3 linked regions of the Tribolium castaneum genome follow. The protein of the gene in region 1 purifies or fractionates together with the protein of each later gene. This does not show direct contact. Links are inferred from orthologs where the notes say so. Each region holds a gene or a part of one and is shown in the gene's direction. Other genes may lie near its edges.

What was found.
Region 2: the proteins of protein-L-histidine N-pros-methyltransferase (region 1) and ZnT63C purify together in Homo sapiens (co-immunoprecipitation; 3 studies listed by BioGRID and IntAct, with this or other methods). This does not show direct contact. The link is inferred for Tribolium castaneum from reciprocal best matches to the Homo sapiens genes METTL9 and SLC30A1.
Region 3: the proteins of protein-L-histidine N-pros-methyltransferase (region 1) and calnexin purify together in Homo sapiens (co-immunoprecipitation; 3 studies listed by BioGRID and IntAct, with this or other methods). This does not show direct contact. The link is inferred for Tribolium castaneum from reciprocal best matches to the Homo sapiens genes METTL9 and CANX.

Annotation. Positions count from the first base shown.
Region 1 is NC_087394.1:24,598,862-24,610,100, forward strand, and holds the start of protein-L-histidine N-pros-methyltransferase, read left to right. Parts: upstream 1-6,048; 5' UTR 6,049-6,293; coding exon 6,294-6,464; intron 6,465-6,951; exon of another isoform or gene 6,952-7,033; coding exon of another isoform or gene 7,034-7,072; intron 7,073-11,239. UniProt on the Homo sapiens protein: Protein-histidine N-methyltransferase that specifically catalyzes 1-methylhistidine (pros-methylhistidine) methylation of target proteins.
Region 2 is NC_087402.1:2,130,980-2,142,076, forward strand, and holds ZnT63C (proton-coupled zinc antiporter SLC30A1), read left to right. Parts: upstream 1-3,876; 5' UTR 3,877-4,350; intron 4,351-6,043; exon of another isoform or gene 6,044-6,075; intron 6,076-6,134; 5' UTR 6,135-6,140; coding exon 6,141-6,317; intron 6,318-6,365; coding exon 6,366-6,588; intron 6,589-6,634; coding exon 6,635-7,127; intron 7,128-7,172; coding exon 7,173-7,392; intron 7,393-7,461; coding exon 7,462-7,482; intron 7,483-7,742; coding exon 7,743-7,961; 3' UTR 7,962-8,188; coding exon of another isoform or gene 8,189-8,217; 3' UTR 8,218-8,576; downstream 8,577-11,097. Other genes in the region: UDP-glycosyltransferase UGT5, read right to left, coding at 1-332, 379-613, 668-872, 919-1,338, 1,382-1,569; mitochondrial inner membrane protease subunit 1, read right to left, coding at 3,089-3,439, 3,489-3,590; radial spoke head 14 homolog, read right to left, coding at 8,972-9,058, 9,104-9,214, 9,263-9,378, 9,428-9,621, 9,668-9,837. UniProt on the Homo sapiens protein: Zinc ion:proton antiporter that could function at the plasma membrane mediating zinc efflux from cells against its electrochemical gradient protecting them from intracellular zinc accumulation and toxicity.
Region 3 is NC_087402.1:5,186,378-5,197,319, reverse strand, and holds calnexin, read left to right. Parts: upstream 1-4,438; 5' UTR 4,439-4,634; exon of another isoform or gene 4,635-4,639; intron 4,640-4,642; exon of another isoform or gene 4,643-4,737; intron 4,738-4,923; 5' UTR 4,924-4,942; coding exon 4,943-6,169; intron 6,170-6,852; coding exon 6,853-6,993; intron 6,994-7,222; coding exon 7,223-7,363; intron 7,364-7,415; coding exon 7,416-7,604; intron 7,605-7,653; coding exon 7,654-7,713; 3' UTR 7,714-8,213; downstream 8,214-10,942. Other genes in the region: gem-associated protein 5, read right to left, coding at 1-27, 73-244, 294-465, 515-754, 803-1,748, 1,796-2,027, 2,075-2,207, 2,258-2,430; nSMase (putative neutral sphingomyelinase), read left to right, coding at 2,932-2,963, 3,011-3,184, 3,231-3,414, 3,463-4,254; parathyroid hormone/parathyroid hormone-related peptide receptor, read right to left, coding at 8,214-8,672, 8,723-9,007, 9,057-9,222, 9,268-9,512, 9,560-9,745; DNA repair protein XRCC1, read left to right, coding at 10,153-10,203, 10,252-10,942. UniProt on the Homo sapiens protein: Calcium-binding protein that interacts with newly synthesized monoglucosylated glycoproteins in the endoplasmic reticulum. It may act in assisting protein assembly and/or in the retention within the ER of unassembled protein subunits.

The DNA of each region.
Region 1 (11,239 bases):
TTTCGCGAATTCGTCCCTTTCTCTCCCCAGTTTTTCGTCGTGTGATGATAATTTAGAGTCACCTCTTCTTGGAGAAGGAGAGGCGGCGAAGAGGCCGCGGGGCGTCACATATGCGGGTGAAATAAGGAAGAGAGGGCGGCAAGTGTAAATGACATCATTATAACTGCAAAGTGGTCTCTCACGCGTCTCCACGGTAACGCCAGCTCTACGGCGCTAATGGCATACATGACAAGGGGGCCGATCGATTTTTTAAATTTACTCCAAGAATAAACAGCGTCTGAAGAGAGAGTCTCCTCTAACGAGACAGCCACCCTTACGCGAGCGATTCTCTCCTTGCAAGATGCGTCATCCATAAATTAAAAAATTTCGACGTGAATTATTTAGGCTGTTGGGGGGTCGATTATGGATACTTAATGAAGTTAAAGGGCGATTGCGGCTCATTGTGTGCGCGTTGGAATAATTTAGAAAATTTCGATTTGCGTTTTTGATGAATTTTCCGCGGCGATCGCGCCATTAGCCTTTGCCTATAAAAGGTTACAAATTCAGGCCGATATTAAAAATATAAAATATGACGTATATTTACAATCCCATTAGCCGGAGTAATGGAATTCCTTTTTGTTCGGAAGTACTGCTCAAAAGCAAGATTTATTTGTCCAATTGCCCATCATGTTTTTCTACTTGAGACCATTTACAGTAATTACAATGCATGTGTAGGATTCCGAAATAAGGAGGCATAATTATGGCTGGGTTTTTATTGATTCCTGATCGATGCATGATTGATCTATGGATCTACGGATTGGCATTCAGTCATAGATCACGCTCTTCGCTCGATCGACGTTTAGACCGAGGAGTTCTCTCCTCTCCATCCGCACATCATCAACAGTTCACGTAATGACGACCTCAAGAGAAAATTTTAATTTTTATACAATCGAATCGGACGTTTCGCCTCTAATAATTCAATTCCGATTCGAACCAAACAACGAATTAAAATAATCACAGAACTAATCTACATCGTGATCGATGGAATTATCGAGCGAATTTCTCTAAATGGAACAACTTCGCCAGCACATGATTTTAATTTTTTTAAATGTACAGAGCGCGTTCCAAATCCATTAACAGGAACTGAACAATTTTGTGGGTCGAAATTAATTTGTGTAAATAAAACTTCAGATGTTCGCATTCACAAAGTAAATGTTTATCAATTCGTCGAAATCGCATGCAATCGTTCTTAATAGAGAAATAATGGAAAGAAAACAATTATTCGATATTTGTGTCAAAGCAGTGACAATGATAGACGTGTTTTGAATTATCTTGTCTGATAATAGAGTTGATCTGTTTAGGAATCGTGGGGCCACCTGCTACGTTCACACGTTTACGGCCGCTTTCGTCTTGTGTCCTTGTTATTATTATTTCTCAAATTTTGACATTCATAATTGCTATGAATAAATAAAACCCGCGTACAAGGGGACCCTAATACGCATCAAGGCGAGGGAGAAACAACTCGTCACATTCATTACTCTTTCATTATTTAATCGCCGATCCAGGCACCAACATACACCCGAAAATCGTCATTTTTTTTCCCTCTTTTATTGGAATAAAAATGATAATTTCGAACAGCGCTAAACGCTACATTACGATCGATTCTCGTCTCGAAAACGTTCCAGCCGAGCGACCGTCCTTGATTGAAGATGGAATATTATCCGAAGAATGTTGGGCAGTGTGATTAGAGTTTGATGTACAATTACAGATTTGTTTCCGACGCGTGGAGGAACGGTCATTGTCAGCCAGACCGCAAATTACCAATCGAATTACCTCAGGTAATGACATGACCGTCTCAAATCTGTCCTTACCAGAGAGAAAAACCGACACTCAGGTTCATCAAACTTAATTGTTACATCGCCGGATTACTATTTCACGCTTCAATAATAACCTCTCGATCGAAATTTATTCACATTTTTAATTGTACATACTTCAAAAAAACACTTGAAAAATGAGGCTATTTTCCAACACTCTGAACAATCAAGTTTTTGTCTTGAAATTTAACGAAAGTTATAACCTAAACGAGTAAATGACACATTTTTGTAAAATCTTAAAGCCCCAATTAGAGACCCAGAGGATACAATCCTAAAAATTAATTTTTGCAAAAATAACCAGAACGCTATTTCCATTATGTTTAAAAAAACTATAATATGATTTCAAACTTTCTCCGTTCATATCTATATTTAAATAACTGAAAACTTAAAATAAAAAGGTTTTTTGAAAACAAATTGTTTGTACAGCTCGGAGGGATTCTTTAAATGATGTATCTAATTTTAATAGCTTAATAATTTAATCATCTATCTACTGTGACTTGTGGAAAACGTATAAACTTGTTAAAACAAATAAATAATCAAATCAAATAAAATTAATAGAAATATTTTACTAAACTACTTATATGAACGTTTTATTTTACTTGTCAATCGGTAATTCAAGATTACCTAAATAAAATTTAGTGATTTTTTTAATCCACTTTCAAAATATTCAAAGTAATTTTTAAAAATAACTATCCTCTATGTATCAGGTGTGTTAAATGTTGCGGATAGGCTCTTAAGAGCACCTAGATAGAGCTTATACAGAACACTATTTTCGATAAAAAAAATCACAAAACCTTTAATTTGGCTAAAATCAAAAACAAAAAATGGCAACGCCGTACAAGTGTACCTATTTTTATATGTTTAGAAAAATATTTACCAAAAGTATTACCATGGTAACATTACTAAATGTTGCTGCACTTTTAAACTGGTATTTTTAACTCATTTTAAAAACCAAAAGAAATGATTTCCTAATTCTTTTTGAAAAAATTGATAATAAGTCAAGTAAACATTAAAATAAATCATTAAAAACAAAGCTAACAAGTTTGATTTTCCTACAATTCCAATTTTGACGAGCTGCTGCATCTTAAATAAGGAGCAATGATTTTTTTCTATTATTTTCTATTTTTTATTTATTTATTTTTAGCGGTCAGGTCAGGTCAGGTCAGGTCTATTATTTTTCTATTTTCTATTATTTTTCTATTTTTCTATTATTTTTTACTTATTTATTTTTAGCGGTCAATAAGACCACTATATCCATTTCCAGAGACTTTTGGCACACCGATATAACCTAACGTTTTTAAACACACTTTTGAAAAAACAAGAGTTTAGTTTACGATAGTTTAGTACTATAATTTTATTGAAAAAATACAAATAGAAAAAATCTTTTATTTGTTGAACTCTGTTACCTGTTAAAATTAACACGCGTATTTCTGACAAACCTTGTATAAAAAAATAAAAAAGTATTCTCAAAAAGTAGTATTATAATTTTATAAAATTACAGCTAAATTATGATATTGTACCTGTTGTTACTTTTTTAATAAATACGGGCAATCCTTCCTCAGACCAGAAATTTAATTTCGTAAAGTGCACTTCTGGAATGCCATTTAACGTCGGCTTTTTATGTTTTACTCTCTTGATTAATTATAATGACAGAGTTTAAAGCACTCGGAGCAATCGTTAAGCAATTAAATCCGATCGGAACACGCAACTTACTCGAAATTGAATTAGTAAAGCTGAAGACTAATTTCAGGGATTTTCACACAATTAAGTGCACTCCTATATACAGGGTGCAGCCGATAACATAACTCACCGAACTTTCTCCATATTTTACATAATAAAGACTTACTTGTTTTCACGAACCGGAACGATGCAAGAAACATTGCTTGCTGTCAAGAATAATAAGTAGATCTTTTAATAATGGGTGGCTAACTGACCATCAACCATTACAATAAGTATATGAAAGCGATTTGGGGCACTTTTTCGATCACTTTTGAGATTAGAATTAAATTAATTTGCGTCAGAGCATTCAGCTTGTTAAACTATGCAAAGTTTTTGAGTGTTTAATTATTCTTAAACCAATTTCATCACTTTTAACTTTCTCGTCATTATTGTTGATCTGCTCTATTTGCATTTTTTTGTTTCACATGTCTTACAAAAACAAAAAATCTCGTTGCTCCTCAAGTTCGCCTTTCCACTCCTCGTCGCATAAATCCTCGATATGAGAGAAAGCTCCGCGGGTGAACTCCTGCAGATAATTCACCACAAAATTTCCAACGTACATAAATCGGTTACGTAAGCAGCGTATTTCTTTCCGACAATAATTATTACAATGAGGAGGAAGTGTACGGTAATATTTATTATTTTTCCATTATTAAGTGTCGCGCAAAAAATTTCACTCAATTGTCATTTTTGAATTATTCACGGAACAATAATGTAGCCAGCGACTAATTGGTGCATTGTAAAAAGTCTTTTAATAACCTTCATGTGCTTAATGACAATTTTTTGTCGCTTTTAAAATTGTTCGAAAGTGGCGAACATTTAGGAAATATTCACGGAATTTGTAATTAATCGAAAAACACGAGGAGGTTTTTTTTGATTCGATACGAACGGGAATTATGAATTGATGGAACGCTGTAACGAGGTTTTTATTAGAATCTTAAGTTGTTCTTGCGTTATTTCAATAAAAATACGGTAAAAGGAACCCAAGGATGTATTTTAAGTTTAATCAAATGTAACAAGTAGCCTTCAATACAAGACAAGTTCAATGTCCGAAAAAAATAAAAATATTTTTGGGATCCTACGGTTTTATGATTACTTTTGAAACGCTGTGGGAATTACGATTTCGTTTGTCCACTGTTTTTTTTTTGTTTTCATAGGTTGTTGGCGGCGGTGTTGAAGGTTGACAGATTGGGGTTGGAATCAATATTCGATTGATATGGTCGTGATATGACGAAATGCTGTGACATCAATAAAAATATTGCTTATCCAAACATTTGATAATAATTTATTTTCGATGTAGTAAAAGATCACGAAAAAGCTCCACCTCGTATCGATTCCGTGAGAATTAGGTAAAATAATTTGTGTGGGGGCTTATATTAAGGAGTTTCCCCGGCACATCAACGATTTTAATAGGATTTTACGACGTTCATTACCGTCGAATGAAAAAAGGGCAATAAAAGCTGCAAAGAGCGATTGTAATAATATTTCGTTATTGGACTACTTGGCATGCGATTCGGCGTAAGAAACGAAACTCTCATTAAAATAAATCGCTAACTATACGCCCTCTTGTCCCTCCGGATCGCAGCTCGGATTTCCAATTAAAAAACCTCATTTATACTCGAGTAGAAATTACACGATGCAATTTAAAAAACCGGGAAAATCCTTAAGGAATTCCGGCCCTTAAGGGTCCGGTAAGTTGGGTCGGTTTTCCTCGCCGACGTCTCGACACTAATAAAGTATCATGCGCACGGATAATTTTTATGCGATTTAGAGATTTCGCGTGTTAAAACGTTTCTCGAATTTAATTCCGCCGTTTTAATTGGATTTTTGTTTGTGTATAAATTTCGGATTATAATTAAATTTAAATTACTCGAAACTCAATGTCGGTTTTTTCCTCGGACACGATTTCCTCCAGTCACGTCTTAATGAAAGCTTTTTGCCCCTCTTCGTCTTGCCCAAGATTAATTAAAATTTCAATTTTCAACACTTTGCACTCAAACTGCATACAGTCATAATTTCATTCTTAATTAACTTTAAGTCGCTCTTGTTTGGCTACCGAAATGAACCAACGTCGTCTTCTTTATTTTCTCCCCGAACAATTGAGATTAATGTGAATTGTAATTCCATCTGGTAGACCTGTACATTAGCCACTGCTTCATAATACGTCCATCGAGGAACAAAAAAGAAAATCTCTTTCAAATTAACATCGTGCTACTGGTTTTTGTTAATGGACCTCGGCTCTCGCTCAAAACTGATTTTCACCTCGGTTATTAATGTAATGTATGGAAGATATTTTTGACAATTACGCAATTACTTGCAAAAGACTCATTACAACTTGTTACTCAGCTCATTTCTAAAGAACAATTCCACGAAACGATCAATGCAACTTTCGAATTTAATCTAATTATTCTGACAAGTCATTTTTATCAAAACGAGCCCACGAAAATTGATTCAAATTACGCGCCTAGTAGTTTCTTGTCATCTCAAATCCAGCGCTGCCAACTCAATGACTCTATAACTGTCAAAAGTGAAAGCAAATACGCTCTAAAACCGTTCCTACGTGTCCAATTCCCTGACCCTAACATACGTTTTTTGTGATTTTACAAAACCTACCAATTTTTGTACTACTTGAGACAATTCAGTGCGTAAATTTGTGAATTCGTGCCGCATAACCTCACTTTTGTCTGTCATCAAATTCATTGTTTATTCAACTCTTCCGCGATGGTGGACGATGGTGTTTGTTACAAAAGTTCATCAGGACCGGATCGTGATTTTTGTCTCGATCAGGACATAGGGCCCACGTTGAATTTTAAGCCTCGTGGGGGCCTCGCGCGGGCTCTGTACGAGAAGCAGCAAACGGACCACTTCCTGAGTCAGTTTGACAAGAGCCAGGTCAGTAAACACGCTAATGATTGTGTGCTTGCTGTGCCTGAAAATCGCCCCTTGCCTAGGTTTTTTCAACAAGATTGAAAAACGAGCGTTTTCGTTCGGTTTCTTTGCTTTCTTTTCCCCTCGTTATGAACAATGATTACATAAATAATCCATGTAGCTGTGCAAACCCAATTATCGTCAATTTTCTTTACGTGTAGGTCATCAAAGCGTCCACCAATCATTAACAATTACTCAATAATAAATCAGTATTTGCTTTGTGAATATTTTATGGATACGTTGGTTATGGCGGGGGCGACTCGGAGGACGTGGGCATAGAGTCCCGATTCAATTTTGCGTCGAAACTCCCCAGATACACCAACGACGCACAATCGGGGATTTTATAAACTGCATATTTTTATTAAACGTTTTCGAATAAACCAATTTGCTAAACAGGGAATTCGTTACTTGCCCGCTTTTGGCAAACCAGAATTCGTTTTATGACTTCTTATCTTATCAGAATCCCACGATTAAGACATTTATTGTTCAGTCAAGGTGATGATGGTTTGTTGTGCGGTACTTGATTCACGAAGATGCTTTTCGAGAAGTCTAAGGTCATGTTGAGTGTCCAGGTGGGTAATTTTTTAGGAGTTCTTCGGAGATGGCGTGGTGGATATGAGTAAATAGAGTATCGTGACTGTAATGAGCGTTATTTCATATCGATAAAACCGCACGTTTTGTCTTTTGCATAATTTAGATCTGGTGGGGTCTTATTTATCTGTTTGTGCATTTAAATTGCTAGAAAATGAAGTTTTTCAATACTCGAAAAAATCTATATCTCGACTGAATATTACCCTTTTTCTGTAAATAAAAACTTGACTTGGAACCACAAAATTATTGTTTTTTTTTAATCGGATGGTCTAAAAATAATAGTACCTAATTAATAAAGCTAATTTACTTAATTAGCAGTTTTTATAAAACCGATCAGTAAAACACTTTCTTATTGGGTGTATAATTTTTGCAATTCTATTTTTGGTATTTGTGTCATAACGGACTAATCCATAAGAAGCCGCTTAGGGATGCGAGAAGAAATAAAGTAGTACCTAATTGATGAAAAAAAAATTAGAAAGTAAAGAATGTACATTTTTGTTATACTGTCTTTTCTTTAAAAACCCTTTAAAAATTGTTTTTGGGTATGGGAGCAAATTTTTCCATTGTGCGCTATCATTTCGATCGATTTCCTTCGGATAATGGTCCATCTCGGGGCGCGAGCGTTTGTTTGAATCGTCCTTTTGAGGTGTTCGACGCTCGATAATGATCTTAAATTCGGCGCTGATTGGGCCCTCGCCCCTCGCAGCCGGGGATTTTCATCAAATCTTTTCGCGATTCGCAAAATAAAAGAAACCGAATGTGTGTGTGTGGGGTAGTTTCAGAGCCCGTGTATGCATGGATTACTCCGGCAACGTCATTACCGAGCCCGCTCCCTAAAATACTTCAAAGAAAAGAATACAGTCCGGGTCCATGATCAGCACGATCTCACATTTGCCGCTCGCTCCAATCCGGAATGTTTAATTCGCAAAGGAGACTCGCTCTTGTGAAATGAGTTAACTGGATTTTGTACAATGGAATGTAGTTTTTATAAGAAAGTTTACTCCCTTTGTATCATTTGTGATTTAGATTTTTCTGTAATGCGATCAATTCTTCTTCGGGATAAGTTTTTAAAAAGGGGTCTCAAGGTTCTTTTCGTACGCGCGCCCGGTCGTTATTTACGCCAATTATATGCCGGGCTCTGAATAATCGCGATTGTGTTTACGAAATGTTTGCGATAAAACAAAAAGATCGTCAATGTATAACAGCTTCAAAAGCTCTAATTGGGACCGCATTTTAAATCGCATACAATGCCATTGCGGTGCCTCGGCTAACAGCGATTTTTGCTTTTTTGATTCCATTACAATAGCGTCTTTACGACAGCATCCTTTAAAAATAGCCACAAGTAACTACATTTTCATAAAATGAAACAACTGACACAAACTAATCACTCGAAATTTCAAGACGCTATTCTGGGGCTGAAGCAATTTTTGTACAGAATAAAAATAACAATAGTATCCTGTCATTAGATATTTTGCATTGTGTAAATCTCATCTTTTATTCTTTTATTTTTTGAGCATCGATTTTTGCTCCGCCGCCCTTTTCGCAGAAACAAAGCGTCACCTTAATCCCTTCGTATCCTCTTCGAACGTCTGCAATAACTTGAAATATTCATCGTAGCGTCAGATTTGGGGAACACAAACTCTTGTTAACCCCCGTCATGAATACATCACGCAGGCATCAAAAGTCCTTCTTTTGCTTCGACGGAAACGTCGTCGTCAAAGTGTAAATTACGAAACGTATGCGTTTTCCTGGTCGGTAGCGAAGCTTTTTCCCGATACGAATACATTATCAGGACGAACGATATGTTGAAGTGGTGCGTGGCGGCGTGCGATGCATAGAACTATGACTGGGAGCCACGTTGAGTGCCTAGCTAAAAGGGAAGGTACGTAACCGGAGGTTAGCATACCTTAGGGACCGCTCGTAAACTACGTCCCTTGACAAACTTCCCTCCAAAAAAACGCATAATTGTCACGCGCGCTTACTACCCGAATTTCACAATGACCGAGAGATGCACGCTTGAATAAATTAATAGTGACGAGAGCATGCAAAAATGAAAAAAATCGAAAAATGAAAAATCTACTGGCCATTACATAAAACACTATTCAATAAATTTTCAATTTTTCCTTTCTTTAAACGAAATGGGTAAGTAAACCCTTTTGTTTGGATACATTTAGGAAAATCACGTTTGATATCTGAAGGCCGAAAATTTATTGATTATGCTATGTAATTTCAATTTTCAAGTATTATTAGGTGATCAAATTTAAGTTGGAATGTGAAGATTTTAAACATTTATGAGATTTGCGATAGTTGAATACAGTGAAGTCTCCAATAAACGGACACCCACTGTGACACGTTTTTGTCTGGTTAATGGAGGTGTCCTCTTAAGAGAAACAATAAAATTAGTTTATTAAAGAGTTAGTAGCATATTATCTGATTTGTTTATTAAATATTTCTTAAAAAAAATTCTTCAAAATGTTATCATCGATCATCAATATTTGAAGATTTGTCAGAAATGTACTTAAAATTTGTACGGTATCTAAGCTTTCCTAGCTTATAACATTGAAACAAAATATGTGATTCTCTGAATTTTTTGCCGATTTGTCATAATAATATGCGTGTGTTGTTTTTATTATTATGACAAATCGGGAGATATGTATATTGTCATTGGAGATTCCAAAAATTAAATGTAAGTATCTTGTACCACACGCGTCATCACACACAAAATTTACTTGAAAAAGTAAAAAGTAAGATCGTCAGCGGGATTCAAATTTGAACTCAGTACATCAAACGACAAAAGAGACAAGCTTCTTTTAAAAATACTCAGACTTTTAAGGAAAAACATTTTTAAAACTTCAATTTCGCAAAAAACTTTTTCGTCCAAAGGGACATTTTGGTGTTGGATAGTAACCTTTCGCAATTACATATTAAGTAATCAGACAAAAATATTTAACTTTTTTTCACTTTATTTGTAACCTTTTGGAAACAAAAAAGTAGTAACTTCTTGGACTTTGAAAAATGAAGAGGTTAAAAGTTAAATAAAAAGAGTCCACATCAACTTGTACTTAATAACGTTTCATTGTTAAATTTCCATTTTCCATGTCTAAAAGACGAAGTTGTCATTTGTGGGGTGGAAGGAAGGAAGAAAATATAGTTTTTAAATCGATTTTCTGTTTTTTTCTTCGTGCCGAAAATTCGGTAAGTCCCTGCCTGATATTTCCGTCGTGAAGCGTGCGTGAAGAATGTAAACGCGTCGAGAACAGGGCCGGCTCGTGTCCAACAAGCCAACAAGTTGTCGGAGAGAATTAGCATCGATAGTGGGCTACCTGGTCGCCAATTCCCTTCGGTAGTAATCCCATTTAAATATTAAATGAATAAATCGCCGGTCGGCAGGTATGTAAACACGGTCTATATCAGATCCCGACAATCCGACCGGATTCCGACCGTTTTAATTATCAGGTCCGCCTCGATGGCATTCCGGCCCGTTCCATCCACTATTTGCTACCGTTCGGAGTTATGATTGTTATTAACATTGCACTTATCTTCGCCTCCTCATCAACATAAATAATGAGAACTTAATTAAAATCATATTTCAAAGGGTACGAATGGGAGGTGCCCGCCGTCTCTTCTGTTAACACCCGACTTTATAAATAATCCAGGGCCGGACCGGCGCTAATTATTTTATTTACTAACTACGACAGCCAAAATTACGGGATCTCATTAACTCGCTAGACGGATAAATTAACTTTCTGAATGGTTCGACATTCTTCTCACACACCTTTTAATTCGGTCGTCATTTTTCCACATAAAACTCGACTGAATATTAGATGATGAAAATCTGAAGCTGAAACGGATGCGAAACGAGACTGTGAGACAGCCAGTGTCGTTTATACCGCGTTAAACGTCACAAATCTGCATCCTGAAGGTGCATCGAGTCGATCACCGTTCGATCTCCGGTGTCTCTTGCCTCTATCTCGGAGCTCGTTTGCATCCGGGGACCGGAAAGGGAGGAGGACGGCTCCGGGAGACACACACACTCGCCAGTTTCTCCTTGCATGTGCCACGTTCACATAAGGGTTTTGGAGAAAAACACCGAGCGACTTGTATTAAACATTCACGATGATGCGTGAATTGCGAGCTGACACGACAAA
Region 2 (11,097 bases), on another chromosome or scaffold:
CGGAGCTCCCTTATGCCTTATCACATATTCCACCCAATAAATGGCCGTGTCTAAGGCAGACAAAGGCCGATCTTTAAACTGTTTCGAAACGCGTTCAGCATTTTGCTTGTACGTTGGGTCTTCTAGTAATTTTTTCGAAGCCTCAAGTATAGTTTTCTTGCTGATATCGTCGTATGCCACTTTAATGGTAAGTCCCATGCGTTCAGAAGCACGGATGTTGTTGTCCTGATCGGCGAAAAGTGGGATTCCCAAACGGGGAACCCCACAGTAGACGGCTTCCTGACTCCCCATCAAACCGCCATGGGAGACAAATAACTTAACGTTCGGGTGGCCTAAAAATTACGTTAATTTCAGTTCAATTAATAAACAGTAAAGTACATAAAATGTCCATCTGGGGCATCCAGTTTTCGAAATGAATGTTTTTGGGGATTTTTAGCCCCTGAGGGAAGTTTTCGCGTTTCGCTTTCCATAAAACTTTGTACGGGAGTTCGGAAAAAGCATCAAACATTCCTTGCAGTTTTTCCGGGTCGAAGGTTTCAGTCATGATCATGGACCCCATTGTTAGGTAAATTATGCCTTTGTTGGCGTCACTTGTGACCAGATTTTCAAAATACTGCAAATGTGTGCTTGAATACCAAAACAAAACAAAGATGGGGGGGGGAATTACTTTGGATAATGGTTTAGGCTCATGGATGTGGAGCCCCCCGACTTCAATAAAATTAGGTACAGTTGGTCTTGAATGCGAAATACTGAAGTGACTATTTACTATCACAAGACTAGTGTTTTGGGCCAACTCTTCCAGAGATGGTAACTCGGGCCCGAAAAATTCCTTTGCGATTTTGTTCGATTCCTTTGACGAGAAGTAGTGGTACCTTTAATTTTTGTTAAATGATTTAGAATTACTTATCACAAACTTACAAAAACTTGGTATAAAGCAACATAATTGTGTTTTCGACTCTCTCAAAGAGGCTCATTTTTGCGGTGGTTGAAACAAAATAGTTTGGAATGTAGGAGGGGTTGTCTGGATTCCCAATCCTGTCCCCGGCCCATGGCAAACTTATACTACTTATTAGAGAGACAGTTGGGGCTTTAAAATAGTGACCAAAGCCCAGCATACAATCCGAGCCGAAAATTTCAGTAACCACAAGATCGTACTTTTTTTTGGTTTTCTTTAAGTCGCGCAAAACTGGCGTGTTTAGAGTCGCTGCACAAACATCAACGCCACAAATTTTGGTCATGAAGTGAATCATGTGGAAGTTTGTGAAGCCGTCAAATGCATTGAGGGATAAATTATTGACGAAAATCGGCAGACTTCCGACTAGACTTAGCTGATTATACCTACAATTTTTAATAAGTGTGATAGGGAAAAAATTGTTTTTACCTGGCAGGTGGATCCTTTGTCGGAAAATGGGTGGCAATATCAACATTGTGGCCTTTTTCTGCAAGGCCTATTAACAGGCGTTCAAACATAACGAAGTGGCTTTTGCCAGGCATGGGGAAAATTCCGAGAATGTTGGCAGTTTGTCCGATTGCGAAAGTCGAAATAACAATAAAAAATACCGAACGCATTGTAAATTTATTGCAAATCTCACTGTGATAACTAGGTGATCCTCTGCTTTGATCGTTATATAAGATGTTGGCGAGTAATTGGCTTGTTGCGTGTTGGGGCACTTAGTTTCTCCTATTATTTTAAAGATGACACAGCACAAACGATTTGTAGAGAGTCTACCAAAAAATATAGCTTCTATACTAACACAATTAACTAATTATCGTGTAGTGAGTACTCGTGAGATCACTAATTAACTTTCAATTATGAAAAATTATGACCAACTGCACGGAAATTAAAGACTGCGCTTACAAAAGCTTTTAGTTTTGGATGTTCGAGTGACTATCATGTTTGTAGATTGATAAAAGCCATGAGTCTTCTGAATGTACCAAACGACAAAAATTTTCAAAGATAATCATTGTACTACATTAAGTAATAATCTTTGACCCAGATATTGAACGAGACCTAATTTCAATATTTCAATATAGTTTAATGCATTGGCAACTTCTCCTTCTAGATAATGCTCGACTTGTGATTAATTATGAGAATGAAAAGGCAGAATTTTTATTGCAATTGTAAACAATTTTAAATGGTGCACTAATCGAAACTAACTTCAAACAATTTTTTATTAGCGTGTTTTACTTACCGCCTAAAATCTTCAACTAACTATAACAAAAAAAAATGTAGCACATACTTTTCTATGAGTTTTTAAATACTGCTCTGCCACAAACTGAAGTAATAATATTATGTAAGTGCTGCTGCAGCGATTCAAAGTCTATAAAGAAAATTAACAAACTCAATTAAAATAAATCACAGCGGTAATAAAATAATAAAAGACCAACACAAATTCAATAAATTTTGTATTGTTTTGAATGTCGGTTGCGTAATAAACATTTTATTATTTCTGCGACTGTCTTGGTCATGTGCTTTTATTATTAACTCATTTGAAACACTTGAAACCAACATAGACCAAACAAAAGATGAAAATTTTTATTTTGCAAAAACTGCGTTTTGTATAGAAAATTTTGCTAATTTATCCCTCACTAAAATAAATACATGATAAATCACTTTATTAAACGAAGATTAAAGTTATCTGCCATATAACAATTAGGTACTATCTGGAATAGTAAAGTGTTTGATAAAACAATAATTAATTGTCTGGTACAAACGGATTTTTATACAGCTGCACATACAATGTAGTGTTTTGTGTTTCTCATATTTGCATTTTGTAAGGTGCTGTAGTTTTTTATTTAACAGGACACTCAAGTTGTCTCTTTCAACCACGAATATTTTTTTATAATTGTATAGAGTGTTATGCAACCATTACTACGGTGTGCTCACATTGTATTCTATTTTTTAGTCAATCTAAGATTAGAAGAGTCCGGAAAAGTACTACTTTACGGACGATTTCAAAATAAAATAATAGAAAAACAAAATAAAACAGCCCACATTTTTGTTAATTTATATTTATAAAATTTACAAATCAACAAATCACAGTTTTCTATTATCATTATTGGCTATTGGGATAAAAAGTCCGGTTAATTAGTTGGTTAACAATTTAATGTCCTTCAAGGGCCAGACTCGACACAGGGCCCTACTGCGGATGAGCCCTTGGGGCACTGGCCCATAGTTCCTAGAATCGGAAGAATTACCCGAATTATCGCCCTCCAACCACACGTGACCTCTAGGCACGATTTCGTAATTATTAAAACCAAGCCTAATTTTATCCCCCGGTAAACCAACCACTCTCTTACAGATATTTTGCTTAGGGTTGGAAGGACATTTAGCTATGACAATATTTCCTCTATCTATTCGATTCAGCCTAGCACTGACGTGTTCAGTTAGTAAAATATCATCGGAGTAAATCGTTGGCTCCATTGAAGGCCCTGAACACTAAAATTGTGGATTCGTTAAACAACGATAATTTTTTTAACTTTGTTACCAGAACAAAATCGCCTAGATATTCGAAAGTGCAGTGTGCCACACAGGCATATTGAATTACAAAGCCCACCGAACCCAGCGTTTTCCAAAAAAGCTTCCGCATAGCGATTTTTTTGGGGTTATGGGGGTTATGTCACATTTGACACTTGGCCACTCGAGAGGTCTCTCCACTCCCTCTAACAATATTAAAATTAAAAAAGTAATCAAAATAGCAGTTTTGAATCGTAATGATAATTTAAAGAGTAAAAAGTAATGTAATTTTTCTCTAATTAATTTAAAATTGCATTGGCGCCTATTGTCCCCACCACAAGACGCTTATCAATGACATAAAAGTGTGCTAGATAGCGCGATAAAAATAATTAAAAAATTCTACAAGGCGATTATCGACTGCCTCGTGGCTTTTTCGTGTCTAGGACAAAAAAATTACCGTTTTGTGAATTTTTTTTGTTTATTTGTTGCTTATTTATGTTTGTGTTGACGATTTTTCTCTTGACGTCATTAGAAACTCGTCCGTTCATTGGCTGAAATGTTACAGTGGTCTATTGTCTGTCAGTTCTTCAGTTGTGGTGATTCTATGGTAGTGAAGTGTCCTTCCTTCTGTCAAATTGTATGACGTACGCTTATGTATTAAATAATTAACAAGAAGCTCAGCTTTTCCATTAACCACTACAGTGTTTTCAGTTAGGCGTCTAATTAATGTCTTATTTCGTTTTAACAAAAACCCTCCAAGTTTAGGCAAATATGCTGTGATATCGTGTTTACAAGTGCTTACACAGGAGACTGTAAAAATCTACAAAAACTGACCCATGCTTCTTATTTCAGTAATATGGTGACACAAGTGAGACAGTTTTAACAAAAAACAGGTGAGAATTTTTCTGTGTAGGTACTGCTTTGTTAACAGTTACGTACAAAAAGCTTATCAATAACCCACTTTGCTATCGATTGTAAACATTTCGTAAACTCCAAAGCCAAGAAACAATGACTAATAAACTACTGCACCCCCAACAACACAATTTATTACTGGAACCAACAGCCGCATTTATTTTTGTACAGTTATTCCTAATGTCACTAAACTTGCATTTGCCCCCAGTTTCCTGAACTGTTTCAAATTTGAAAACGCCGTGTCATCACGAAAATCTCTAAAAAAGTACGGATTAACCGCAGGTGATTTATGACCACAACTTAACCGGTTATAATGAGCCTTCAGCAAGAATTTGTACGTGATTGGAAATGATTTAATTGCTTGTAGTTATTAGAAGTGAGGACTTTTTATTAGATAATATTTCCTCAAAGAAAGTTTTTGCATAAAGCGTTGTAATCTTTAAATGTAACTTTCTCCTTTGTTTACTATTACCACCCGAAGTGTGGTGGGTACTTAATAATTCATTCCAAGAATTACTCATCTTGCAATAAGCGAACATTCCTTTGTTAAATATTATTATTTTTGATAGCACGAACTTCGTAGTGATTTTTTCGAAGGTGAACCACGTTGTAAATTGCGTTTGTAGCGAAAAATTTTTTTGTGGTAAAAATTCATCACTTCGATTGTATTTACATAAGAAATATTGCAGCAACCTTGCAAAATTATCAGTATAGTGTATGAATAATGCAGCAGGAATTTAAATATTACATTACTCGATTTCTAGGATGTTCGACGTTGTAGAATCTGTTAAATCACCTTGCTGTTATAATCGATTTAAATGCAAATACAACGCGGTCAATGCTAGAAATATGGTTGTCTTGTGTCAGTTGCTACCTATTTCATGTTATCGTTATCTCAAACTATTCGTATCAGTATTTTATCTAATAGTAAAATTTATGTGCAGGAGCGAAGTATTCCAAAGTAGAAATCAGAGACAAAAGATCCGAGCGTTTCGTGATGCAAACTTAATCAATAAGCAGGTCAAACACCCAATTATCTCATTTTTCTAAACGTTTTGTTTGGTTTTATGCTTTCTTCATATCGGAACAACAATCTGGAAAGAATATGTGCCGAGTTCAAGTGAAAGCATAATCACGTCTAAATTTTTGAGCGCAAAATATAGTGTTTTGTGCTAGTATTTAATTGCCCACACTTGTAAATAACGGATTAAGCGGTCGATTAGAAAAATAATGAGTGTGTTTAGTTTCAAACTAACGACATAAACAAGTCAGTAAACACAAGTTTAAAGGAAGTGGTCGTGCTTTTATCGGACGGTTCAGTGATGGTTTTGCGGTTATTGATGTCCAAAAAATAATCAACCGACTGACAAGTAGTTTTCAGTTTCAACCAGATTGTGAAAATTGCACAATTCCTTTGTCGTCAAATACTGTTTATTCGGGGCAAACACTAAATAAAAAAATTCATTATCACCGAATTAAATTGTTTGTTTTGTATGGGCATTGTCTGAAAAAATGACTAAAGTCTGGAATAACTCAAATTTATCAAAAAACGCGATAGTTCAACTAATTAATTACGCCTAATACAATGGCAAATAAACAATTGAAATATTTTATTCATACGTGGATTCTTTGAACACTTGACTAATTCCCTTTGTGTTAACAAACTGTTATCAGTCACATTTAACAACCAATTAAGGCAGAAAAAGGTTCGTGAAAATAGCGGCGATTACATAATGCATAGCTTTTAATTTTTTTGTTGTTAAAGATCACAATGCCAAAATGGGCCGGAAAAAAGTGTCGTCTGCTCTCGATGTTGGGGCTGACGACGTCCTTCTTCTTCGTCGAAATAGTCGTAGGTTACATAACAAATTCGATGGCTTTGGTCGCGGACAGTTTCCACATGCTAAGCGACGTGGCCGCCTTGATGGTGGCCTTTGTCTCAGTCAAGGTAAAGCAAATGAAAAGCGTACGATTTTCCCAACTCGGAAAATTCCAGATGTCTCCGAAGAAGTGGTCGAAAAACACGTTCGGTTGGGCCAGAGCTGAAGTCCTTGGTGCTTTAGTCAACGCCGTCTTCCTCGTAGCTCTTTGTTTTTCCATTACAGTGGAAGCTTGCAAACGGTTCATCGAGAGCGAAGCGATTCACGACCCACAATTGTTGGTCATTGTGGGTGCGTTGGGTCTGTTTGTTAATTGTATAGGACTGCTGTTGTTTCATGGTATGGGGACGATTTCGTTTGGTTGTTATTTATGGGCGAGTTTTAGAGCATGGTAGTAGCCATGGTCATTCCCATGGTCGTTTGGCCCATAGTCGAAACCGCCTAACACAACTAGCCATGACTGACGATAACGAAAACGACGAAAGTTATCCCAGTCCTCCGCCGGAGAAATCCTCCCATCATGGGCACTCAAGCCCCGGACAGATGAACATGAGGGGGGTTTTCCTCCACGTGTTGTCCGACGCTTTAGGCTCAGTTATCGTAATTATATCAGCAGTTGTCTTCTGGCTGTCGTCGTGGAAATACAGGAATTACATCGACCCAGCTTTGAGCATACTGCTGGTATTGTTAATAATGAACTCTGTATGGCCTTTGTTGCGAGACTCGGCTTTAATTTTACTACAAACTGTCCCGACGCATATTCAAGTCGACGCAATCCAGCGGAGGTTACTGGCGAAAGTCGACGGAGTCGTAGGAGTGCACGAGTTTCACGTCTGGCAATTGGCCGGAGACCGAATCATAGCTTCAGCCCACATTAAGTAAGGTTTTCTGGTTAATTAACCCTCTCTTAATGTAAATGCCAGGTGCCGTAATTTATCCGAATACATGAAAATCGCGGAAAAAGTCAAAGAATTCTTCCACAACGAAGGCATCCACTCGACGACAATCCAACCAGAGTTCATTGATTACCAAGCTCCGGAAATCACAGATACTGACCAAACCGAAGATTGTGTTCTTGATTGTCCCAAAACCACAGACAGTGACGACTGCGTGCAAAACACATGCTGCGGTCCATCGAAACAAGTAAGTTACGACCGAAAAATCGAAAGTGCGCACATTAAAACAACCGTAAAATAATTGATTTTTTCTTAGTTGGAGAGAAGCCTCTTGAAAGTGAGAGTAAAAAAATAATGCGGCTTGGGTATTAAATTTTGGTTTTTGCTAACAGCTGTGATCCACTGTGTGATTAATGCGAAAAAATCTGTGATTGTTTTAATAAAACTATTTTACCTAACTTGTTTTATTGGTGGCACTAACACTGAAGCATCTCCCAAACAACTAATTGTATTTTAACTTCTTGTTACATGTTGACTTGTTTGTGGGGTGCGTTTGCGGTTCCAGGCGTCAGTTAGCCAACCGTTGTTGTGTTCTAGGGACGTGAGACGCCCTCGCCCAATAACACCCCGTATATGGTCCGTCAGCGCGGCAATTCCAGCAACAGTTCGAACAATTCGCAGGAAATGAACGAAATGGAGGCGGGAGTGCTTTTGGAAAAAGGTAATTCTCCAGTGCCCAAAGACTACAATTGTATCTCAAGGGGTTCACAGTGTTCGCAATACTCAGTAAGACCTGGTTCAGAACCAAGTTTCTGATACCTTGATGTTTCACATATTTTAATTAGGCTCTAGTTACCTTATTAAGTATAAAAAGTCGTGTTTTCGTGTTAATAACATCACTTCAGTTTTGTAATATGCTCTACCAGTAAGTTTCACAGATTTTGTTACTACTACAGTGTGAATCTAGTCTTAGTACAATTTTGTTTTCAGTTTTATTACTTGTAGTTCGGCTATGGCCAAGTTGGTAAAGCATATTTTTCTAGATAAGAACAATCTCAATACGACGGAGTGAAAGAGCAAGATTTCAAAAAATGATCGCGTACTTACATTGTATCATGTGATGAATAAGGGCGACAGAATAAAATCAAGTATTAATTGGGCGGTAGCTAAACGTCAAAACCAGTACCTTAAAAAGGCCCTTCATCGTTTACACGTAACTAGATTAGGAAATTTTCTCGGCTATTTTGCAAACTTGTATACCTACCGTGTTGGGTGAAGTACAAGTGTTACATATTTATATTTTATTTTGTATATTAAGTATTATGTTACATACTTTTTATTCAACATCTAAAAACAAGGTTATACTATATTTAAAATCACAGACACTGTGTGCAGCCTATTGATGAAATAAAATTAAAGGAAGACTAAAAAGTGAGCTTTATTTGGTGGGCTTTACCTTACCTAATACTCATCTTCGGACCTCTTTTCCCAGTCAAACAATATAGCTTAGGAGACGAAACGAGATACAAAATCAAGGGTTTTCTGAACCCAAAAAAATAGTACGGCAGAAATCGTTTTAAATTAATTTAAATCCAACCAATTTTTGCAAAAATATGGGTAGGTTGGAATTACAAAGTATAGGAAACTGTTTTTTTAAGTCTTGCTACGAACGCGTAATTATCACAAGCGGGCAGAAATTCATTTACATGCTGTTATTACGTGCACAAAAAATCCAACCTCTGCATAATAAATTGTTTTGCACGGAAGACTGTCAAAGCCTGAACACAAACATAACCAGTGTAGTATTTATACTAGACATTGACTACTTATTCTACTTTACGTTGAGATTTGGCATCTACCACACTTAACGCAATACCTAGCTGAGCTGCATAATAGGTGGACATGACAAGGGCCTAAAAAATAATTAATTTTCCACAAATAAATGTTAATTGAATTACCTGTGAATAATCAACTGAGAATTTGAACCGATCTAGACCCAGTATAAGGTCGGAGAGAACGAAAAGAATTCCACCAACACACGAACATAACTTGCTCCAAGTCCACAAATCCTGAAAAAATCACTCGAAAAAAAAATTCATTTAGTTTCACAATTTTACCTCAAAAAACTGGACTCGAGCAATGGCCCTCCACATCATCGTGGTCAAGATAAATGTGTAAATAATTACACCAGGAACTAGAATACCGTGTAAACCTGACATTAAATATGCTATACCTACAATTGGAACAATCGGGGAAAGTTCGCAATAAAACCATTAACATACCCATTACACTAATTGCGTATAAACATGCACCTAAGGTTAAATTAAGAGGCTTAAAACCGAACGCTAGAATGTAATTAATGTGCCCGATGGCAAATGCTAACATCCCAGCTTCGAAATATCCAGGCCAGATTAAAAACGCATCTCCCAAACAACAGAAAATTAATCCGACTAGAATTCTTCGTGAGTATTTGTATCTAGGGCGGGAATTAGAGCAGGTCACCAGTGGACTTCGCTACTTACTCATCACCCAAGCTCATGCCATGGAGTAAAACAAAAAGCATTAAACTTAAAATTGGTAAACATTTTAATATCGTTGATAAAACTGAGGGCAGATTGTACGGCAAAAAAACTACAAAGTAAATGGTAACAGTCTTGAAAAATGGAACCAGTTTGGGACCCACACTCTTCACCTGCAAAAAGTAAGTACACAAGTCCAGTTTAAGGATAACAATGATAATATTGAGTCACAAAGAGCAAACACAATAAACTGCGTAACGCATTTTTAAGGTCAGGGCGAGAATTTTCGCAACTAATTTTGTCACATGTATTGACTTTTGAACTATTCAACTGTAGTTAAAACTTGATGCTCTATTTTTTAAATAGTAAGAAAAAAACAAAAACATCTTTTAATTTTTTGAAACCAAATTATGTTCTCACGAAGAAGAGAGAAGAATAATTTTCAATACAATTTTTACATGATAATAAGTTCACTTGAACCCAAAATTTGAAAGGTCAAAGAGCTGACGAAATATACGCGAGTTGTCCACATTTTTACGAAATTAATTCTTTCAGTTTTTGTTGAAAATGAGTAATGAATGTATTATTAACTGGGGAAATATTAAATTATTGCATAATGATAACACAAGCAACCTTTACACTGTTATTTAATATAATAAGGCATCATTAGAACAAATTGTCAACTAGGGACCACAGACCAGAAACGCAAACATTTATTAAAATAAAAAACAAATTAAGCGAAAACTTCAACAAGCGTGAATGCTAAGTGACTGCAATTAATGCAACGTCTCAATATCACACAAAGCACGCGATATGAACTTGTTTTCGTCGCCAAACAGATAAATCATAGTTCAAGCCGTTTATTTTTTAGTCACTTAATTATCTGATTGGCTGTTGTAAACAAAAATTCAGCTTACGGTTTGGTATTTGCACCTGGAAAAATTTCCACATTGATCATACATACCACAAAAATGCGTGTCCGTAATAATTAATCACTATAATTAGCGATATCGTACAAGTTCAAGCCTAGCAAGGTCAAAAATCTGATAATTTCAGTTTCTTAATAACACGTGGTAACAAAAACTATTATTTTTCCTGAGGTGAAGTATCTAATCTAATTTATCGACCGTAAAACCTTCCAAGGCAGTGTTAGTATTTCCAATCGATTAACATAAAAATATTTTTTACGAAATAGTTAATACAGTTGAGTGCCCGGCTCGTGTCAATCAATGACTGAAATTATGGTCCTATTGATTATTTACAAATATAAACCGCCTATTAATAACCCGGTTCCGCTGAAATAAATTTATTTTCGAAACGCAACGAAAATTAAAATTGCGAATTTCGGACAAAGACCGCACAAAACCCGCATTTTTTTTTTTTATTGTTCGACTTACCACTTGTGCAACGGCGTTCATTTTTTACGAGGTGGA
Region 3 (10,942 bases), on another chromosome or scaffold:
TGTTGGGAAGGTCCAAGAAAGACGGCCCTTGAAACTAGTTGTTATCAAAAGACTTCAACTTAAAAAAAATACCTTGGTCGGGGTTTGATACGTCATAAATGATAATCTTGCCCTCAGCCACCGCATAAAGCCCTAAGTTGTGTAAGTCCGCATTCAAAGGCCCCCACTCGACTTTATACACTTGGCTGTGAAAGTAGTGAGAAAAAAGCGTTGTTTTCTTCGAAATGAGGTCAATCGAGCCGACCTACACACAAAATTAATTTGGGGGAACTTAAGTTAAAAGGTATAATTACGCGTCCTTCCTCAGTCCCGAACCCTAGAAACATTTCCCTGGTAGGGTGCCAGGCAATCGTGGTAACTTTGTGCGTATATTTGGGATGGTATTTCTGCATTGTGATAGTTTTAGTATGTGGGAGACTCAAATCCCAGATTTTGATACCACCGTCTTTCAAACCGATCGCAAGTCTGTTCAAATATTTACTTAAAATAAAATTAAACGAATGCGAAAACAAACCGATTGGGATCCAAAGGTGAAGTATCGCAACAAGTGATGAACGCAGTTATGCACGAAAAACACATCCGTGTTTTTTCCGCGTCCAAGTCAAAACAAACCAAGTTTCCGTCTTGGCTCCAAGTCCACGCACTAAGTTCGTGTTTTTCGCGCCAATTGAACGCCGTCGTGTACTTGGGAGGGGCCACGATGTTGAAAATGAGGGATGAGTGTTCAAGGTGGACAACTCGGTATTGCTTGGGTCTAAAAATTTTTATTTTTAAGTGAAGATTAACAATTGGTGGGTTATACGTTTTGGGTTTGGGCAAAGGCCAGGCTAGAAGTTCGTCCTTTGTTGACGAGGTCAGTAATAAATCTGGGGCAATCCAACACAGGGACATCCAAGTGCTTTCGTTCTTCCTGCGATTGTTGCCCTTTTTAGCGGCTTGGAAGAACGTCTGCATTCTACCGTCAGTCCCCGCCCGCCAGATGTAAACACTTTTGTCTTTTCCACACGATGCGAGCAAATACTCAGCTCTTGGTTCTTCCTCAATCGGTTCTACAACCTTTGGAGATTCCTCTGGAGTAGCAATTTTTGGCGACTCCTCTGGAGTATTATCATGTTTTTCAGTTTCTGATTCCAGAACGCTATCACATTCGGATTTTTCCGGCGAGTCAAACTTCTCGCGGGTTTCGTCCGTTTGATCAGTCTTCACTTCTGAGCCCGTGTGCTCAATATCCTTCTCATTTCCTTCATCTTTATCTTCGATAATTTCGGAATCTAGCACAGAATCGTCCAAAAAGTCGCCACTTGGGTCGTACAGTTTCGGCAGAGGCCTACCACAGTCCACTTCAGGCACAAACTCACGTTCACATTCAACTTCGCTTTCTGCCTCGTTATCAGCGGCTGAGTTTTTTACTTCCGCTGATTTTACAAGTTCTGGTTCAAGCCCTAATATCTTACTTTTCAAAAGATGACAATCTTTCAAAAAATCGGAGATTGTGTCCGAGAGGGTTTCTTTACCAGATGAGGCTTCGCCATCATCTGCATGAACTAGATTTACCCAAGGATTGACCTTTTCTTTGGTCTCAACTGTCTTATCTGAACTAGAACCCTCATTGTGCTCACTTTCGCTTGATTTATTTTTAACCGTATTCTGGCCATGTCTCGGAAAGATATTTACGGGTGCTGGACACCAAGACAAGCAAACAACCGCCTGATAATGCCCCCTCAATTTATACAAAACTTGCCCATTGCCTGGACAAATTACATGAGCAAAAAGTATTTTTTATGCGCAAACTTACGACGCAAATCGGCCACGATCACCACACCGTTATTTAGTCCAAAGGCCATGAGCCAGCCGGCATGGGGGCACGACGAAAGACAAGTCAGAGTGACTTTACTTTTGAATAAATCTACCAAAGGCTTGGACTCATTCGTGTTGATATTCCAGACGTGTACAAAACCGGTCGATGACGCACTTACGACGCGATCATCACCCGCAAAAACGGCCCCAATTACGGGGTTTTTGTGTTCCTATCATCATTATCTCATTGTGCTTTCCTTAAAAATACCAGACTTACCACATGATCCCTATTCGACGTTTTCTTCTCGAAGGTATCCAAGTCCCACACCTTCATCACGCTGTCTTCCCCCAGGGACACCACGTACGAATGGGGCTCCTTCCATCTCCTGTTCAAACTAACGGAAGTGAGACTGAAACATCAATTGTAGAAAAACGGCCAAGAAACGTAAAACTCAAGTACAGTTTAGAGTGAGCCGAATGAATCAATTTCACTTCGGCCGGTTCTTCGGGGCCTTTTTCCCTAACGATAACAATATCGCTTTTTGCGCCATACACCAAGGTATTGTCAGGGGCACACGCCAACACTGAACTCCTGTACCAAAGGGGCGCAGGAGGAACAGCTAACTCGTTCATCTCACCAAATTATTCAACAACTGAACAAGTAACTTTTAAAACGCATTTACACGTTATTTTCACATGTGGTTGGGCGAGTTTGTGCACTGAACAAGACGTCTGAACCGGAGAATGTTCACCCGTCCGAAATTAATTGAAGTTAGCACCATAAACATTACAGTCGACCAGACAATCCCTGCACGCATTTCCACCATTTCCCACCATTCTCGTTTTCTACAGCCAAGTTCTGTTACAAATTAAAGCTTAACTCATCCAAAAATTACCGAAAAAAGTTATTGGTCGTTACCTGATTATTTGTTACATTCTGGTAATTTTTGCGAGTCGATTTAATTTATTTAATGTTTCGCCACCCTTTTAACTTACGCTGTTGGACGTTTGACAACTGTCACGTGGCCATGCAGGAAAAATGTCAACAGTAATGTCACACGTCACTGTTCTTTTAACACAAAGTTAGATCTATTTCGCAAAAATACTTCTATAAATCTATCATTTTCTGTAATAATGGAGTTTAAAGTGTTTACTTTGAATTGCTGGTAAGCTGTCATGTGATTTATGTTACAAAATTGCACAAAATTCTTAGGGGCCTTGCGGTGGTCTCCAAGAACCGAAGACACCGAATGCAGGCAATAGCTGAGAAGTTGGCGACTAGCCAGTACGATGTAGTTTGCCTCCAAGAGATATGGCTTGACTCTGACTACCAGTTAATCAGAAACAAAGTCTCAGGGGTGTTACCATACTCTCACTATTTTTACAGGTAAATTCAAAAATTCAGTTGAAACAAGCGTAAAGGTGAGTTGTAGCGGAGTCACGGGCTCTGGCGTTTGTATTTTATCGCGACACCCGATGGAGGACGTTTTTTTCCACCAATGGCCAGTAAATGGTTACATTCATAAAATCCACCATGGTGACTGGTTTGGTGGAAAGGGCGTGGGTTTATGTAAATTAAAGGTGAACAATTACACCGTCAACGTCTACTCTGCACATGTAAGATTTATTTTGCTTGATGAACAACACAAAGAGTAATAATTTTAGTTGCACGCAGAATACGACCGAAATTGTGATGAATACCAAGCTCACAGAGTGCTCCAATCTTTCGATACCGCTCAATTTATCCAAATGACGTCTGGAGACGCCGACCTAGTAGTCCTGGCCGGGGACTTAAATACCGAACCTGGAGATTTAGCCTACAGGATAATGTTGAGTGTTCCGGGACTTGTAGATGCGTTTGGTGAAGCTGGAGAAACGGTGCAGAATTGTGTGGCGACAAATGAAAGCCTCACTAATAGTTACACACCCGTGGCCTTACTCAAGAAAAACATTCCTGGCAAAAGAATCGACTATATCATGTATCATCCAGGCTCAAGTTTACAAATCGATTTAAAAAGCTACACATTGCCGTTACCACACAAAATCCCCGGATGTGCGTACAGTTACTCGGACCATGAAGCAATCGCTGCGACTTTAATCGTCACAAAGAGCGAGATAAGGTCGCTGAAAAGCGACCAACACATGAAGAAAACTGTCCTTGAAGAGAGCATAGAAATCTGTGATGACGCACTCAGGGGCTTGAATAACCATAAATATTTGTACTGGTTTTTTACGTTCGTTTTAATCGTGTTGCTGGTTACGACACTTGCAACTGACCTACCTTTCGGCTACAATCTGAATTTTATTTACCACATTTTGAAAATTTTAATCACCCTTTTTATGTTTTACACTTTGATGATGGCAACTATCTGGAATAAAATCGAACGTCATGCTGTGATTGCGGGCAAGTTGGGAATGGAGACAGCTTTGAGGAAATTAAAAGCCAAAGATTTGTAATTATATCAGGGCCAAAACAAGCTCAGTATTTTAAATCAAAGACCAACACCTGTTGCTCATTTTTTATTTGGTTTGTACGACTGTGATCGTTTCTGTACCACTGGTGAATAAAGTTTTCATTTTTTAACTGTTTGTACTTTTTTTCCCCGCCTATTTTTGAACTGAGCGCAACTTTGCCATCTGTTTGACGCTGATTGGTCGGCGAATTTGTGTTTATTCTCTTCATAAATGCGGTGTATTACGTGGTGTTCAAGAACTACAATAAAAATAATCTGATAATAAATGAAATACAGCCTAAGTAAACACCAATTTGAGTTAAGACTGTGGTGCTGAAGCTAGTGTTGTAAGAGTGCTGTGTAAAACTACTTCCGGATTTTGAGGTTAGGTATGTCATTTTATTTTGTCGGTCTCTAGAATTTTAATTATTTCATCGTGAAGTCGGCTTTTTTGTGCATTTTGTAGTAATAGCGTGTCGATAGTTGGGTAAGAGAGTGCGTTTTTGTCGATATTTGGCGTAATTTCGTAACTAATCGATTGGGAAGTGCGTTCACTAACCTTTCAGGTTAATTTTTTAAATTGGATTAGTCCCTGACTTATATTAGTAAATACTGCTTCCGTTTCGTCATCCTGTAATCACGACACATAATTAGTGCCCGGTTTGGTTTGCAGGACAATATATGATCACAAAATGCTTAGAAGTCTCGTTCCGGCAGTAATCACGTTATTGTTGATATTTTCGGCGGTAAAATGTGACGAAGTGGACGATTCTGACGAGGCTACTGTGGAAGTAGAACCGGAAGAATCACACATTGATATCCCCTACGAAAGTCCGAGCCCCCTTGACCCGAAAAAGGTCTATTTCGCCGAGCATTTCGACGATCCAGACCAGTTTGCGAAACGTTGGATAAAATCCCAAGCGAAGAAAGAAGGGATTTCCGAAGACATCGCAAAATACGACGGTGAATGGCAACTTGAACCAACCCAAAAAGACAGTCTAGTGGGCGACAAAGGTTTAGTGCTTAAATCAAAGGCTAAACACGCTGCTATTGCCTCCTCTCTCCTAAAACCGTTTATTTTTGATACTAAACCATTAATCGTGCAATATGAAGTAATATTCCAAGACGGCCAAGAATGTGGCGGAGCCTACTTGAAGCTGCTCACCCAGGACTCCGCCAGTAAAAACTTGAACAACTTCCACGATAAAACCCCCTACTCGATCATGTTCGGCCCCGACAAGTGCGGTAACGACCACAAGCTCCACTTTATCTTCAAGCACCGCAACCCTCTCAACGGGAGCGTCGAGGAAAAGCATTGCAAAAAACCCAAAGACCGCATTGAGGAAGTCTTCTCCGACAAACTCCCCCACTTGTTCACCCTTGTCCTGCACCCTGACAACACCTTCGAGATCCTAATCGACAACAAAGTGGTCAATTCGGGAAGTTTGCTTGAGGATTTCACCCCGGCAGTGAATCCTCCGAAAGAAATTGACGATCCTAATGACAAGAAACCTGAGGATTGGGATGAAAGGGAGAAAATCCCTGACCCAGATGCCGTGAAACCTGACGATTGGGATGAGGATGCGCCGGCTCAGATTGTTGATGAATCAGCGGTGAAACCGGAAGGTTGGCTGGATAATGAACCGTCGCATGTTTTCGATCCTGATGCAAAGAAACCAGAAGATTGGGATTCGGAAATGGACGGGGAGTGGGAACCACCGCTTATTGATAATCCCGCTTGTAAGGATGCTGTCGGGTGTGGGCCTTGGGAGCCCCCACTTATCAATAATCCCGATTATAAGGGGAAGTGGAGGGCGCCGCTTATCGATAATCCTAATTATAAGGGGAAGTGGAGGCCCAGGAGGATCCCCAATCCCGAGTTCTTCGAAGATAAGCATCCCTTTAAAATGCAGACTGTTGTAAGTAAATGGTTAAAAAATTATCTTGTTTATGTAACTGTAATTATTGGTGCCGATATGTTTACATTATTTTTTCTTCTTGTTCAAATTTATCAGTTGATTTTGTACACTATTAGAACATAGTTTACAAATCTGCAGTCAAAATTTGGCTGTCAGCTCTAGTTTCCTCTCCAGTTTCCAGAATTTGTGAAAAGTATATTTCGATATGCTTTGTACAAAAATAACAAATTCTGAGCTTCTAATTTTGTTAGCAATTTTTTTAGAGTGCCTAGGACAGTGAGAAAATGGTAAAAGAATTGCCTCTTGATAAAATTGAGCCAACTTGAAATTGACACATTTATTTTTGCGATTTTTTTTTATTATCTTTGGTTTTTGGCAGAATTGTAGTTGTTTAATTTCCATATTTTTACCGAAACTGCGTATTTGATTATTGCATTGTTGCCTTCAACAAAACATGTTGCAAAAAAGAATTGTTTGTGTCACTACAAAAGGATTTAGTTGCTATGTGAGATATGCTAACTAAGGAAGTAATATATACTTAGCCACACCCAATCGTTTTTATGCTTATTTTGGCGAATTTGCGTTCGTATTGTGATAAAAATGTTTTGTAAACCTAAATAAAGAATTGTATTTTTGCAATTCATTCAAGATTAATTTATCTTTGGACAAATAACTTTTTTCAGACCGCTGTTGGATTTGAGTTATGGTCAATGTCAAAGGACATTTTCTTCGACAATATTATTATTACCGACGATATTACCGTTGCGAACCATTGGGCAGACGCCACTTTTGAAAAAAAGAAGCAAAAGATCGCCAAGGATTCGGTTAGTATCTGTTTAATTTAAATGAATTTTATTATATTTGTGATTTTTTACTAAATAAGAGGACACTGTGGGGTCGTCTTATGAAAAAGTTAAACTATAAACCTGTACCGTGGTTCTTATATTTCGTTTATTGCGCCATACCGGTTTGTTGTTACATATGGTACCTCTACTTCTGCATTCAAGAGGTATTTTCGTACTGCTAGTTATAGTTTTCTTTGTTTTGACATAGGAAAGCGTAATTCAAAAATTAGCTACCTTGACCAATGATTACCCTTGGCTTTGGGGAGTATACATTATCGTACTAGGCATCCCTGTTGTTTTTGTATTATACCTTTGCTGCAAGCCTGGATCCTCTGCTAGTCAAATTCAGGTATTTTGGCTATTGCATTAAATTTTGCGGTGTTAATAAGTGACAATGACAGGAGAAAGAGGAGCTTCGACAAGCAGCGCAACATAAAAAGACTGACGAAACGACTGAAGATGTTGTAGAAGAAGAAGGTAAAGAAGAAGAAGAAGATGAAGTAGAAGCTGAAAATGCAGAAGACGACGATAGAGAAAAGAATTCAGGGCCTGATTCCGACGAAGAAGAGGAATCAGAGGAAAAAACAGAGGTGAGATTCAGTCGTTAAAATTAAAATTGGGTTTATCATGTTCTCGCAGGAACAGTCATCCAAAGGTGCAGGTGACGGCGCGAGGAAACGAAAAGTTCGTAAGGAGTGATAGTAATTTTTGTATAACTTGCACCAGCACTGTTTTCATCATGCAATCCTGCAGTTGTATTTATTTACGATTGTTTGTTTTTTTGCTGTACATTATTCGTTCCATTTTTCCTTAGGAAATTTGTTCTTTTTGAAAGAATAGTATAATTGTAGTTGTTACGTTTTCGAATAAAGTATTTGACAGCGGTTCATTTTACTGTATTTGTAAATAATCAAACGGAGGGCTTAAGGGAAAGGTATTAAGCCGTTTGTATATTTGAGGATTATTTATTACAGAAAATAAAAAACATGGAACTATTTTTTGGTAATTTGTACCATTTCACCGGCAGCTCTTCAGTTTCCCAGACCAAATTCGCCCGTACTAGTATTATGTCATTGCATGATTTGCATCAGCGATTTTTCTATATTATATTTATAATGTCCTGTGATTATGTAATAGTTCAGAGGAAAATAAATTACTTAAGTTTATTGTGTGTGGAACTAAAGCTACAATAAATAAACTTAAAAATAATCACTTGTTTTGTTAATGCACAGCTGATCTTTAATCCCCGCGTTGTGCGGCATTTCTTGCAACTCTTCAGTCAGCGGAATCTGTTGCGTGTGCGAGATCGTGCGACTTCGCCTCTTAAACTCCCGATTGCGGTCCTTGAAAGAGTTATATTTTCGCATTATCTCCATCTGAACCTCGCTGTTCAAGAGGCAATAAACCAAACTGGCAAAAAGTCCTTGAAACGCTGTAAAAGTCTGGTCAAAAAATAACCACATTATTTCAAACGTCTGGTCCTCCAGCGCATAGAACGATAACACGAACGAAATCGTGTAAGGGATCCCGAACAGAGGCACCAAAATTAAAATAGCACGGATGAGCTTTTGGTACTTGGTCCAGCGCTGCTGAATGTACATCGAAGTCAGTTTCACGAAAAGTATTCGGACGATTATTGTAAATAAAATGAAATTGATCTAAAATTTGGTGCTTCAAACATTTTTTTTTAATTAAATTGGAAACTCACAACCACCGTAAGTCCGATCGGGACATCAATCAACATTGCAATAAATTTACTGGATTTTGTTGTCCAACAGTAAATATTTTCATTCCCGGCCTTTAGAACAATCCACGGAATTATGAAAAGCAGGGGGATCCCCCACCCCAAACTGTAATAAATTACAACCCCGTTTTCCGAAAGCAATTTCAAAAAGAGCAAGTTGTGTAAATAGGCGCCCTCCATCAGAAGAAACATGTAATTTGATATTATGAAATAATTCCAGAGACTTATTATAGCTTTACAAACCCAGGACTAAACAAAACCGTTAGTTTTTTTCTATGTGATTGAAAAAGCTACTCACGAAATTAGTTTTGTTGTAAACTAGCTTTCCATTTATTTGAATAATTTCATGCGGTAAGGCCGTCCCCTCGATGAACAATCCGTCTTTTATCAGAGACATGAGGGCCCTCATTACAAACGAGGCAAATAAGTGAATGTGAAGCTTATTTCGAGCGCAGTGTAATCGCCTAAAAAAATTTCTCACTTTTATTTTTTCCTATGGTGGCACTTACTTGATACGTATGAAGACAAACAAAGATATAATTAGTGAGACCGTTGATAAAATGTAGCCACACTGAGTAATATTTTTGATAATTGGTAGCCACTTGTTATACAGAGTGTGGTTGCGGAGCGAGTCATCTAAAATCGGATAAAATTCGGAAATGTTACCACATTGACTGTAGTTGGTCCATGATTCGGTCGAATTCTCGGGGATAAACCACTGGCCGTCACTGTCGCATTGTCTGGTGGCGTAGTTCTGATAAATTTGCCAAATAAATTGGAGTAAAGTTCAGAATTACTTACGTTTCTGGTCCATTTTATGTACTCGTTCGAGCACGACTGGTTGGCCAAAAGTCCAGCGGGAGTCGGCGGCCAGCACAAGATATCGTCGAAAATCAATTCGCAGAATTTCCCAGTGATAATTTCGGTGGTTTTGCTCGCGTAACACTTTCTTTTCGCTGTGTTCAGAATGTCCTGAAATTCGCTCATCGTCCTTGCGGCTTTTCTTGCGTTCTGTAAGGTGATATTGGGCGGTATGCTAATATTTTTACTTGTTTACGAACCGAGTCCACTTGACATAGATGAATCGACTATTTTTATTTTATTAAATCACTTAAAATTCCTCATTATTGAGTAAAATCATCGAATAATCGTTACATAATTGGTTGTTACTAGCCGCTTCTTCGACTGCTATAAATTTAATTAATGATTCAATCGGAACGTAAGCAGTATTTTTTCAAATTAATCTTAGATAGGAATAGGTAAATATTTGTTGTTGCTTTCAATCTGATTGATTGCTCCACAAACGCGCAAAATTCAAATTTGACGCGCAAAACCCCGTCAAAATTTTAAGGTTATGTTCATGTTTTTTGAATTGCACAAGTTTATTTGGTAAAATGCCCAAAATAAAGCTTGACCACGTTGTTAGTTTCAGCAGCGAGGACTCCGTAAGACTTCTTACATGTAAACGATTGTTTTTTAAATAAATGTTAAAGGTTCACGTCGCAAATAACGTTCTAAACAGCGATCCCGCTAAAAAATGGAAATGCAAAGATGCGGGCGAACGCTCGGCCACAATTGTCCTCCAGCTCGAGAAAGCGTCCCTAATTTCAGCACTTGACATCGGGAATGAAAATTCCGCATATATTGAAGTCCTGGTCTCAAGATCAGGGACCACGGATGATTTCAAAGTTTTACTGGTAATGTCTTCCTTCATGACGCCTTTAGAGGCACGTCAAGGGACTAACCCTAACAAGGTGCGAATGTTCACCCAAGAGCATTTATCCAAACCCGAATGTGAACAAAAGTGGGACAGAGTCAAGATAGTTTGCACTCAACCTTTCAACAGACATGTTCAATATGGGCTGTCTTTTATTACGTTCCATACGCCTGGAGACAAGCCAAACGGGACCCCAGTCCAGACAACCATTGGAAAATTTACGCTAAGGCCTGACTCGCCTGATAATCTAACATCTGGGAGTCTATTTGCCAGAAGACAGGAGTTTCAAAAAGAGCCCCTTTCCGTGGCAGCTGCCATAAGAGAAGCCTCTTCATCACCAGTAACAAAACCAAAGTTAAAAATTAATAACACGTCACAAAGTAATAATAATAATAAAGATCATAAACCCGTACCAAGAAACAGGAACGAAATTCTCTACAATAAAGATGAGGAAGAACCTCACGAAA